Oryzias latipes: one gene and its partners. The protein of the gene in region 1 purifies or fractionates together with the protein of each later gene. This does not show direct contact. Links are inferred from orthologs where the notes say so. Each region holds a gene or a part of one and is shown on either strand. Other genes may lie near its edges.

Evidence for each region. The genes of interacting proteins can lie anywhere in the genome.
Region 2: the proteins of H(+)/Cl(-) exchange transporter 4 (region 1) and tmem9b purify together in Homo sapiens (co-immunoprecipitation; 3 studies listed by BioGRID and IntAct, with this or other methods). This does not show direct contact. The link is inferred for Oryzias latipes from reciprocal best matches to the Homo sapiens genes CLCN4 and TMEM9B.
Region 3: the proteins of H(+)/Cl(-) exchange transporter 4 (region 1) and tmem9 purify together in Homo sapiens (co-immunoprecipitation; 3 studies listed by BioGRID and IntAct, with this or other methods). This does not show direct contact. The link is inferred for Oryzias latipes from reciprocal best matches to the Homo sapiens genes CLCN4 and TMEM9.

What each region holds. Positions count from the first base shown.
Region 1 is NC_019860.2:10,457,589-10,461,835, forward strand, and holds the start of H(+)/Cl(-) exchange transporter 4, read left to right. Parts: upstream 1-1,446; 5' UTR 1,447-1,627; coding exon 1,628-1,643; intron 1,644-1,901; coding exon 1,902-2,059; intron 2,060-2,132; coding exon 2,133-2,232; intron 2,233-2,322; coding exon 2,323-2,510; intron 2,511-2,599; coding exon 2,600-2,722; intron 2,723-3,094; coding exon 3,095-3,301; intron 3,302-3,362; coding exon 3,363-3,443; intron 3,444-3,515; coding exon 3,516-4,061; intron 4,062-4,130; coding exon 4,131-4,247. UniProt on the Homo sapiens protein: Strongly outwardly rectifying, electrogenic H(+)/Cl(-)exchanger which mediates the exchange of chloride ions against protons.
Region 2 is NC_019861.2:19,775,392-19,779,445, forward strand, and holds the start of tmem9b (transmembrane protein 9B), read right to left. Parts: upstream 2,801-4,054; 5' UTR 2,650-2,800; coding exon 2,575-2,649; intron 1,550-2,574; coding exon 1,458-1,549; intron 1,379-1,457; coding exon 1,270-1,378; intron 768-1,269; coding exon 633-767; intron 1-632. UniProt on the Homo sapiens protein: Enhances production of pro-inflammatory cytokines induced by TNF, IL1B, and TLR ligands. Has a role in TNF activation of both the NF-kappaB and MAPK pathways.
Region 3 is NC_019865.2:11,958,143-11,962,428, reverse strand, and holds the start of tmem9 (transmembrane protein 9), read left to right. Parts: upstream 1-1,486; 5' UTR 1,487-1,622; intron 1,623-1,804; 5' UTR 1,805-1,839; coding exon 1,840-1,929; intron 1,930-2,307; coding exon 2,308-2,399; intron 2,400-2,602; coding exon 2,603-2,711; intron 2,712-3,239; coding exon 3,240-3,371; intron 3,372-3,450; coding exon 3,451-3,591; 3' UTR 3,592-4,286. UniProt on the Homo sapiens protein: Transmembrane protein that binds to and facilitates the assembly of lysosomal proton-transporting V-type ATPase (v-ATPase), resulting in enhanced lysosomal acidification and trafficking.

The sequences.
Region 1 (4,247 bases):
ATTGTGCACAATGTGACCAATAAAAGAAATAGCCAACTATGTTCTACTGCTCCAAAGGGTGAAATATTGATGTTATACAAACCCTTCCAAATGTGGAAAACGCACAAAACCTGCAAGCACAAAAAAAAAAAAAAAAAAAAAAAAAAAAAAAGGTACACTGGCAATTGGTGTGTCAATACCGACAAGCACATACATAAGGTTTTGACTGTAACTAGAGCCTCAAACCACACAAATAATCTTTGTAGGTCAAAGTCTCTTTGTAGAAAGACAAACACATCAGAACTTCTAATTCTTTTAAGCTGTACAGCAAATTGCACAACCTCTTTCTACATATATTTGGAACATAGATTTTAATACGGCAGATTCAGATTTCACAATGTCTATCAAGTTAATTATATTTGGCATAACTCAAATGTAAATAGTGATGGAGGCAAATAAGTGAAACCTCATAAAAATAACACTTACCCTTTTCTTCTCAAAATAAATTCAATAAAAAATCTAAGGTCCTGCAAACCAACAATCCAGGAATTTTGATATGCTCACACTAGTCTAGGCAATACCAAAGTGGGCAGTGGAGCTGAAAAACTGAGGTTATTTATGTATGAGGTCCTAATTGTCTGTCAAGCCACACCTTGTTGAATGACCAAGAGTTTTTGAATGAAGCTTGACGAGTAGTGATAAGTGGTTTGTTTCCAACTTACATTTCTCAAAGCAATTCAGACAAATATATTCGAGAGATAAATGGTAGAGAAAATATAAAGATAGAATATGTAAAGAAAATTAGAAAGGAAAGTGATCCTAAACTCCAAACGTGTGATATTAGTGAAAATAATTACCAAGAGAACTATAACTTTAATTTCTCCAATTTTCTCCAGTCATTTTTCTTCAAACTTGCCGTGATGTTAGTGAACATCATTACCAACAATAATCCAGTGAAAGTTTTGCTTCATCTTTGAAAATAGTGGCATTTTGGATGGTTCAAACTATAAAGGCAGGATGCTTAGGTGACCTATAACTTTAATTTCTCTAATTTTCTCCAGTCATGTTCCTTCAAACTTGCTGTGATGTTAGTGAACATCATTACCAACAATAATCCAGTGAAAGTTTTGTGTCATCTTAAAATGAAGCAACTTTAGAAAGATTTGACATGACAAGACCAGATGTGCCCTTTTACTAATTTACGTGGAGTATCTTCATTTCTGTTTGATTCAATTCCATGACATGCTCAACAACAAAGATCCATTAGATCTTAAAATAAACATCAAGAATTTACCGTTTTTGGTTAAATTCCAGGCTGAACTTGCAGAACATCGGTTTCTTTAAAGTATTATATGTTGTGTCTTCCTGAACGCTTCTCTTAGCTCTCACAAATCCGCACTTGGTGCTCCGTTTTTTCGTCATCCAAGTAAAAGGTTTTAACAATAGACGATCTCTGCTAGTTGAACGCAACAAACGAGAAGTTACGGTGGTATCGCGAGACCATCAGGCTGAGCTGCATTTTGTCAGCTGCATTGGGTCAGTTTCTTTCTAAATGTCTAAATCCTGTGTCCGATATTAACTGCTGTACATGAAGTCATAGTTTAACAGGAACTTCTACAATCTCCGGTGCTGAGGAAGGACCCAAAACATGGAGGCTGGTGAAGGTAAAAAAAAAAAAAGTGTTTATCAGTGTTCACATGCTAACGTTAGCTTCGGGAGCTAACGTAAATAAAGATGCTAGATGATCTCTCTGTTCTTAGATTGTAATTTATTTAGACATTTTTAGATCAGGGACAGGGTTTTTGTCTCACAATAATCACGCTGCGTGTCATCATCATAATCATTTTAAGGATTTTTGTTTCATTCTCAAATATTAAATTGGGAATTTTCCACCTGAGTGCAATGCCATTGTCGTCCGCCAGGCGGCAGCGCCACTACCACTCCCGCAGAGGAGATCAACGGAGCTTCAACCTTAATGGACTTCTTGGATGAACCTTTCCCTGACGTCAGCACGTACGAGGACTTCCACACCATTGACTGGTTGCGGGAGAAGTCCAGAGACACGGACCGGCACCGGAAGGTCCGGCATCTGCTGGTTAGGGTTTGTGATCTTGGTGTGTTCTGGCTCCTCATCACCATATTTTCTCCTCCAGATCACCAGTAAGAGCAAGGAGTCCCTCTGGGAGTTGATAAAGGGCCTGCTGGATGCCTGGTCAGGATGGGTGGTGATGCTGCTCATCGGTCTTCTCTCAGGTCAGTTCGATTAAGGTCAGATTGAATCGGTATCATCTGTGAGGTTTTACGCATGTACCAAAGATGGCGGCGTATTCCTGATCTCCGTAGGAACGCTGGCCGGCGTTATTGACCTGGCAGTGGACTGGATGACAGACCTGAAGGAGGGCGTCTGCCTCTCTGCTTTCTGGTACAGCCACGAGCAGTGCTGCTGGACCTCCAACGAGACCACCTTCGACGACCGCGACAAGTGTCCGCAGTGGCAGAAGTGGGCGGAGCTCATGACAGGCCATTCTGAGGTCAGAGCTTGTCATCCGGAAAAGAAGAGACTTGTAGGGTACTGAGGGTCAACATCTGATCGGTTAAGCTATTTTCTGTGGCGTTTCAGGGAGCCGGAGCGTACCTGTTGAACTACTTCCTGTACATCCTGTGGGCTCTGCTGTTCTCCTTCCTGGCTGTGTCGCTGGTTCGGGTTTTTGCCCCGTACGCCTGCGGTTCGGGGATCCCAGAGGTACGCACGGTTACTGTATCTGCGAACTGGACCGAGCTTGACGTCACCCGTAGAAAAGGGCTCACTTCCAGCTCCAAACAAATTCAGTCACCATTTTTTTTCGGTGATACGGATGCCGCCATGTAATCGTCAGTAAGTAGTGATTAGTCCGCATCCATGTAGGACATGGTTTCCATGGCAACCATTTTTGCTGATCATGTTTGAACTTGTTAGAAGGCCACAGCCCACCACTGACGGTCTGGGGCCTTCTATTTGGAACACGAGGGGGGAGGGGCCACTCATTCCAGTTCTCTTAACAGTTAATGTTTGGAACCAGGGTATAAATCAAAGGATGTGTGTGGACGAACAATTAGGTCTTTTTCTTTCTTTAAGATTAAAACGATTCTGAGTGGCTTCATTATTCGGGGCTACCTTGGAAAGTGGACCCTGCTGATCAAAACCGTCACCCTGGTTCTGGCGGTATCGTCGGGTCTCAGCCTGGGGAAGGAGGGCCCTCTGGTCCACGTGGCCTGTTGCTGTGGAAACCTCTTCTGCAGCCTCTTCTCCAAGTACAGCAAGAACGAGGGCAAACGCAGAGAGGTATGCCGATGGCGCCGCTCGTCCTGGCTGAACTCCACTTGACCCCGTCTCTCTCCTGCAGGTGTTGTCGGCGGCGGCCGCCGCTGGAGTTTCGGTGGCTTTTGGAGCGCCCATCGGAGGAGTTCTGTTCAGCTTGGAGGAGGTATCTTAGAAGTTGTGATTTATTGCAATTTTTGCCACTTGAGCGATTTTTAATCAAACTCCTCTCCTGCAGGTTAGCTATTATTTCCCTCTCAAGACGCTGTGGCGTTCCTTCTTTGCCGCTCTGGTCGCCGCCTTCACTCTGCGCTCCATCAACCCGTTCGGAAACAGCCGGCTGGTTCTGTTCTACGTGGAATACCACACTCCCTGGTACATGGCGGAGTTGGTGCCCTTCATCCTTCTGGGCGTCTTTGGCGGCCTCTGGGGAACCCTCTTCATCCGCGCCAACATTGCTTGGTGCCGCCGGCGAAAGACCACCCAGCTGGGGAAGTATCCCGTGCTGGAGGTGATCGCCGTGACGGGGATCACCGCCGTGTTGGCGTATCCCAACCCGTACACACGCCGCAGCACCAGCGAGCTGATCTCGGAGCTCTTCAACGACTGCGGGGCGCTGGAATCCTCGCAGCTCTGCGATTACATCAACAACCCCAACATGAGCCGGCCGGTGGACGACATCCCCGACCGGCCCGCCGGACCCGGCGTCTACAACGCCCTGTGGCAGCTCGCCCTCGCCCTCATCTTCAAGATCGTCATCACCATCTTCACCTTCGGCATGAAGGTCGGTGAGAGGAACCGGGTCTGGGTTGTGGTGATCGCTGGAGTCTAACGTTCTTCTGTCTGCTTTCAGATCCCGTCGGGTCTCTTCATCCCCAGCATGGCCGTTGGAGCCATCGCTGGGCGGATCGTGGGGATTGCCGTGGAGCAGATGGCGTACCACCACCACGACTGGATCATCTTCAAGAAC
Region 2 (4,054 bases), on another chromosome or scaffold:
CCCTGAGGCAAAAAATTGAGTCCCGTCGATGTAAAACTTTTCCATTTTAAACCAAAGATAATGTGATGTGATTCACAGCAGCACAGTAGTAAGAGGTTCTGGATGTGAGTCCAGGAAATGCTCCAAGCTTGGCCAGATTGCTGGAGGCAGTCCTTAAGTGAACGCAACACAGTATCTAAATGTATAGATGACACACTTTCCAGTTTCACCACAATTCTACAGAACTACTGCCGCAATCTGAGCCAATGTTGCTAGAATATCGCATTTAATTTTTTGTAAAATCTGCATGAAAATAACATATTTTGGTAAATTACAGTGCATGCAAAGGAGTCCAAACTTGTTAGAGGGCAACCTAATTACATTTCTTTGCATGATTGCACAGATTTCTATTTCTCAGAGCCTCCCAAGGAGTGGGAAAGTACGGCACTGATTTACAAGAGCTTGTTAAATTTTACTCGTACTGCATGAAAAACTTCCACGTGATGGTTGGTGCAAAGGGAGAACATTTACTGATCAAGTCTTGTGACTATGACCATTCAAAGTATCAAACCTGCTAAAATTCACAGAAAAAAAAAATTAAACAACTATACATATTGCCCTTGAGACTCCTGAATGTTGCTAGGAACACTTACCCCAGCATCATCGTCACTTTGGATAAGCTGCGAGTGTCCAAACAGCCGCCTCTTCAACATGGGCTCCAGCAGAGTCAGGTACACCATGTAGAGCAGTAGCAGGCCCAAAATGGACAGGTACATGATGATGGTAAACTAAATACATGAGAAGGGAGAACAAAAAACATACTCAGAAATCATAGCATGCCTCACATTTAACGTTGAGCAAGTATTTTCCATAACCTTGAATTTGATCAAATTAAACTTCTTTATATATTTATATTTAACTATAAATATAAATACTTTTCATACAAAAGTAGTGCAAAGTCAGAAACTGTCACATATAAAAAATAAAATACCCCTGTTGTTTATATGCAAGATAAAAAGGGAGAATACCAGCTTTTAAAAAATCTACAAATTAGTATTTTAAAAAAAAGGAAATGTTTGCAATGTAAAGAATAATCAAAAACTTTATACATCCTTAATCTGAACCCTCTGTGTCCTAAATTGGGTCACAGGGGTTGCTGGAGTCCATCCCAGCAAACATGGGGTTAAAGGCAGAAAAGATCTACATTTTTAGGGTACATACAGAGACAAACCAGCACACACACAGTCTGAGAGACACTTTATAAAAAATAAATCAATAATCTGACTTCACCTTTATAGTCCCTGAGCTCCTCTCTTCATATTTACATTCACAGCGCAGACAGTAGGCCTCCACATCTTTGCCGTCCACTGGCATCGGTTCCACCACATGGAGGCAGTTACTTAAGAGACAAAATCATCCATATGATAAAGATTCAGCAAGGGGGGGGGGGGAACATACAATGGCATTTGGTTACATACCAGTCTTTGAGAGACACATTTTGTTTGTAGATATGTCCCTCATAGCCTCTGTAAGGTGGACAGATACACTTACAGCGAACGTCTTCGGAATTCTGTAAAAGTTACGTCAAGCAGGTGTTTAAGTTTTAAATGCAGCAGTCGATTGAACTCAGACATTTGTTTTGACATGTTTGTGTGATGTTATCACAGCAGCTTTAAGAATATCAAAAAATTAAGTTTATAACTTGTAGTTTACCAAAAAATAGATTTGCAAAGCAATAACAGGATAAAATAATACAACTGAAGTAATTACTATTTATTGAAATAGTTCAAAATCTTGCTAAAATAAAAATCTTGGATCTTAAAGATTTTTAATGTAAAAATGAGTGTTTTCCTAAGACTGCATGGTGGCTTTAGATCTTCTTAGCTAAAACCAACGATGTTCTGGAATAATTACATACACAGTATGAGTTTCTATGATGAAACAACATGCTGCCAAAAGAAATCAAAAGACTTGAGACTAAAAACACAGGAATCCAGCTTCCAGGTACATAACACCAAAGTAGCAACAAAAAAAGTTTCCAAAATAATAGTTCTGATGGATGTTGGCAGCATTTCTGTTTCGCTTTGGTGTACCTGTTTATGTTTTTATTATTATTCTTCTGACATATAAATGTAGTTTTGAAATAGCAAAGATTCCCTTTAATGTCTGCTTTTATGAAAGAAAAAGGGGGGACAGTTGTTTTCTGGCGTTTGCTGTGTTTAATAAAGGTAGATTTTCTGTAACTCGGTAGAGAAGGAAAAAAATGTTCAACTGATCAGAAATAGCACATTTATTAACATTTTAGTAAGGAAGTCTTAACAGAAATTAATCATGACAACATTTTTATCTCTATCTATCTATCTATCTATCTATCTATCTATCTATCTATCTATCTATCTATCTATCTATCTATCTATCTATCTATCTATCTATCCATCTATCTATCTATCTATCTATCTGACCAAGCACGCGAGCAACAAAAAGGGGAAGGTGTCTGTCGCTGACAGAATTTTAAGACGTGTAATTCCTGTTTAGTAAGCTACTCGCCCATGTTTTGTGTGCTGTCAGCTAGCATTAGCCTAGCATTAGCCTTACCTTTGCTGCTGCTGCTTGGCTCAGCAGCACCAAACACGCCAAACACGCAGCCTCGGCAGCTAACACCAGCTTCATCGTCGCAGTAACTCAAACCCTGCTGGACTCTTTTTGCGGGACAAAGGAGAAAAGACGAATGCACCCTAAGAAACGACGCCGTCCGCCGTAGAGCCAAGTAGAGGATAAGCAGATTCTACATCAGCTGACTTGTCATTTCCGGAAATAGAGGCTCACTTCCGCAAACATTAAGACGCGGACATTTGAAATATTACATTTTTTTTTATTTCAAGAACTATTGAGGTTTACAATTTGTCTTTTGAATTTGAAACATGACATATTTAGGGGATTTTAAAAATATTTTTACTTTGTACTTATTAGTTTCTATGTTTTTATATAAATCATGTTTGTTAAACTGCCATGATCATGTACGAAAAATACAACAGAATGAGATGGAGATCTAAAATGACTGACGACAGCCGTCTAAACCCGTCTTCCACTTAAAGGGTTTATTTATTTTGGTGAAAATTTTACAAAGTACTGCTTATTTTTAAAGAAGTAACTTTAAAAAGTATCTTGCACACAACACAGATTTACTACATATTTATTTTTAAAAAAAGTCATCACATTTGAAGCAAAGTTTTTAATAATTGTCTAAAATAAAAAAAAGCTTAACCTTAACTGATTTTGTTTTTTATGTTTAATTTGTTACTTGGTCTATTTTTTGTGCTGCATAAGCTTTCCTATATTTGTATTTTCTTTAAAAAATGCACCTTGTTTTGGCTAAATAATGTGTTGCAAGTTAAATCAAGTAATGATTTATTTGGTGTTTTTCTTAAGCAGACAAATATAGACAAACAGTTGCATACTAAACTCTAATGTCAAATGAAATTTGTGCACACTAAACAATAAGGTTCTTTTCTGGTAATTAAGGAAATGATGAATATGAGTCCTATCTTTATTTACAATTTTATTAGATGTACAAAACCATAAAATATACATACACATCGCATCTAAGATGGGTCAGTAGCTCAGCAGCATTTTACAGGACTTTTCATAGAAACAGACATGACATGCTTTAGTATCTCAGGGTGTCTACAGAAGCATCTTTGACTGACGTGAAAGCAGATAATAGCTGGAAAAGCTTAGGGGTTTATAGAACCATTACGTTTATCCAGACACCTTGGAAAACCAAACACATGGGTCATCAACATCTGTAGCTAAAACTCTCAACACTTTTTTTACATCATATACAATACAGTCATCAAAATAAATGCTTTTGTGGCGAGACTACCTCTTTTCAGTGCTAGTGTTCCCAAGAAAACAGTTGTGCTGTATTAGTTTCTTACATTTTGCAGTACTTCTGTCATAAATGCATCAAATCCAGTAAAATAAGGCTGTTAAAACTAGATATACAATCTATGTACAGTACCATTGACATTCAATATATGTCTGTTCGCCCACCAAGTTTGTCTCTCCTTGTGGT
Region 3 (4,286 bases), on another chromosome or scaffold:
TGTGCTAAAAGCATTGCTTGCGGAGGGTGTGGGGGGTCATAGTTTTAATCGATCTGCATGGCAACAGACCCAAGTGGTTCAGGTTGATCTTGCAACTCATTGATTTAGACGGTTTATTAACGGTAAGAGTATCTTACTACACACAGAGGCATGAAGGCAGGATTACCTGGAAATGGGAATATCGATTGCACCAAGACACTAAGGCTCAGGTTTTAAATAAAGGGGGAAAATTGGACATGGGAATCATGTCAATTGTGAAAATAATAAAATACTGTAACAATAACAGATTACTTTATGTTGCAACATGAAAAATGTCTCTTTTAGCATACAGATAGTGGACCATCCAGACTACTCATGATTTTTGTTAAAGACCCACTCCAATGAAAATATACTTTCTGGTGTTTTAACATGTTCTTGTATCATTTTTTCTCATGATGGAGGTCATATAAGGAAAATCAAGCTGTAATTGTATTTCTGCATATTTCTTTATTCAAATTGATGTCAATCAGGAGCAGACGTTAAAATGCCGTAGGAAAAAGCAGGTAGCAGTGACATAGTCTACAGTCGGCAGGCCAGAAGCTGCCTGCGCTGCTCCATTCTGATGCATCCACTTGGAGACAAATAGATCCATATACAGTATGTGTTCGTTTTTCTCCTCCAGGCTGAAATGTAGCTCAAAACTGTGCGCCTGGATAGCTCCGATATTGCTCACCACTTTTTGTGCAACACAAATGTTAGGTTGGGGTTGTGAAGGGCTGCAAGCTGGAGAGCACCTAAACAAAGGGATGATGGAAAATGAGGGCACCAACAATCCTGTCCACAACTCAGAGGCAGAGTTCTAATGACCTACTACTGCTCTGCAGAAACCATGTCCTTGAAAGCGACAGTTGTTTTTATTGGGTTAAAAATGGCATAATCATAACTAAAAGACCAATGGGAATGCTTTTACGTAAGATCAAAAGATGATTGGAATGGGACATTAAGTCATTCAAATATCACAATTCTTTTAAAAATCATTGTCATCATATCTTAACTAAAAAATAGTGTTAAAAATGGCAATTAGTTTTTATTATTCAGTTGATTTTTGAAAAAAGGTAAATATAATTTTAGTTACATAATTAATTTGCTTGTTGTTTAAAACGGCCTTGCTTTAACCCTTGTATAGCACAAGGGTTAAAGCAAGGCTGTTTTAGGCACTTTAACATTGGGAGTTGGGTCATCTAGACCCACTAGACAGTGCTCTGAACCTTTTTTCTTCAATGATTTGTGATCTTCACTGGTGTCCATGGATTACATGAAATCTTTACACCTTTATCCTCCTTTGTCATGGTAGGACAACACGTCAATGTAAGGGTGGGGTCATCTAAGTTAGCACAAGGGTTAAACAAAGGAGAAGCTGAATTGGCGACATTTCATGTGCAATTCTGAATAATAAGGGACCTTCCGTATCTGTCCAGCAGATGGCGCTGTCGGTCCAGTTCCACAGTTCCGTGACGATAGTCCGGATCCAGGAAGAACAGCTCATTTCAGCAATTACAGCTTTTTTTTCAAGCTCTGCGATTCGTGCTAGAGCTGCGTCCTGAATGCACAACACGAATACGCTGCTGACGAGCTGTGAACACGTGAGTTAACGAGTTGTTTTAAAATTGACCAAAGTTGTTTTGTATTTTACGATTTCTTACCAAAAAAAAGCGACAAAAATAAATGGTTGTCACCCCCCCCCCCCCCCCAGCCGTTTCCGTCGTTGTTTACACCGTAGCTAGATGCTAGCTGTGCTAACTGCTAGCATTTGGTGTTTTGACAGGGCGTCAGTGGAGAACTTTCCGATCCAGCAGGGAGATGTTTGACAAATACGGACCTTTGAGCTTCTTAGCTGCTACAGTCGTGACTGTGTTTCTTCTGGATGCTGGTGCTGTTGCAGACGCTAAGGTGAAACAAGGGAAATGTGTTGTTTTAGCTTATCATATCCTATGACAATCATCCTGGATACTACTTCTTGTGTTTGCAAAATACATATTTTTATCATAAATATTTACATGATAATCCATACTTTTTTTTAAAATCAATTTGTCTAATAAATGAAATCAGGGACACTTCAGTTCTGATTATGCTTTCTGCTGTATTGTAAACAACTGTAAATAAACCCACGTGGCTTGTTTCAAAGTCCGATCTTTTTGACTGCTTTATCAGACCCGGATGAAGAACTAATCACCTGAATCAGGTGCAGCCTGGAACAGGGAAATAAGATTCACATGCAGCCCAGAACCAGGATTTAAAACTCTCTTCTTATTATCCTTGATGTTGCAGAACTTTGAAGATGTTCGCTGCAAGTGCATCTGTCCACCATACAGAAACATCAGTGGGAACATTTATAACAGGAATGTTACCCAGAAAGATTGGTAAGATCACTTTGTTAAAATGTATTTACTATTATTTAAATAATATCAATTTAGAAACAGTTTGGGAATTGGTTTAGTTACTTTTTATTACTTAATTGACACAAATGCTGACTTTTTGTCTGCATTTTCATGAGGTTGCCCTACACACTTTAATCTTACCTTGCAGGTATAAATATTAACGAAAACCTTTGCTTTCATTGCAGTACCTGCCTCCATGTTGTTGAGCCGATGCCAGTTCCTGGATATGATGTAGAAGCTTACTGTCTGCTGTGTGAGTGCAAGTATGAGGAGCGAAGTAGCAACACCATCAAGGTACTACAGGCTTTCATTTGATTTCGGTGGTTTGTCTCCTACAGTATCCTCCCTCAAAGCAAACGTCCTTCAAAATTCCTTGGGCAAAACCCTTCGCGCTACCGCCTAACTGTGTTGCCACAAGGGGCCCCAAGTCTGGGTCCCCCTATGTTGGTTTCCAGCCCGGATAAAACACAGGCTGGTGTCAGGGAGGGTATCCGGCGTAAAAATCTTTGTCAGACTACGTGTGCAAAACAGTGAAAGCTGAGTCGCTGGCGACCCCTGAACGGATTTGCTGGGGTCTTCAAACTATACCTATTATGACACCTTTTAACCAAAAGACCCAGAATACCAGTTTTTATTGTTTGAAGCATTTTATCTTTGTTTTGTTGCGTTTTGTATTGTATTGCCACAAAACCTGTCATTTATTGATTTGTGGGAAAGATACACCCCCCTACTAAAAATAAAATTGAAATGCTTGTTATGTCCTGTTTTTGTGATGTGCTGCAAAATGACATCTTTATGTGACCCGTTTGCTAAATGTTCCAGGTAACCATCATCATTTACCTGTCGGTTGTGGGTGCATTGCTGCTCTACATGCTGTTCCTGCTCCTTGTTGATCCTCTCATCCGGAAACATGACCCCTACACTCAGCCTCTGCACAACGAGGAAGACAGTGAGGTAATCATGCAAAGAAACATCACATGTATTGGTGTACATTATGAATGCCGCCGGTTTTAACATACGTCTGCGTTTGCAGGAGATGCGTCCGCAGGCAGACAGCGGGCAGGCCAGAGGAAACACGGTGCTGGAGCGGGTTGAGGGAGCACAGCAGCGCTGGAAGAAACAGGTCCAGGAGCAGCGAAAGACCGTTTTCGATCGCCACAAATTGCTAAGTTAAACTGTCAGCCTGAGCTTAAAACCCGGTTTAGAGTAAATGACCTCCTTGAGCTCAGACCAGCGGCACTATCACAAACCAGCACAGCATCCTCTGGATCAGTATTTTGACAACAAGAAACATATTAGCATGAACTTCTAACAGACTTGAATGTAATGGGCTTTAGGCTGGAATATAAACTAATCTCATTTGTCGAAAAATTAAAACCATTTTTGCGCACTTTAAAAGTAAAAATGAATGCTTGAGTTTGAAGATCATCTGTTAACTTTTTAATAACTAGTAAATATTGGGCAGTTTGCTTATTGCTCTATTTAGAAATTTACCTCACAAGTGGTACACTGGTTTCATTTCAGCTTGCCTGCTTAGACAGTTGCCAGGCGTTTCTTCTTCCAAGCTTAGTAATATGAAATAGTTTATGTAAAAACGTGAGCATCTTCTTTTTGCAGTACCGTGAGTTCCTTTCTGATCTTTTTTAACCTCATTCTGGGTCTTTTCCCTTCTCTCTGTGAGGGAAAATGTGTCGAATGGACTCAAAAAAGATGTGACTGAAATACCAGCACTAAAAAGCTTCAAAATCACTGGATTGTTCTTTAATTTAAGTATTTTGTTTCTGCACTTGTATGAAATAATATATTCCAAAATTCCACTTTGAGAATGTTTTTATTTTAGTTTAGAAAGAGAACTGAACTTTGTCATTT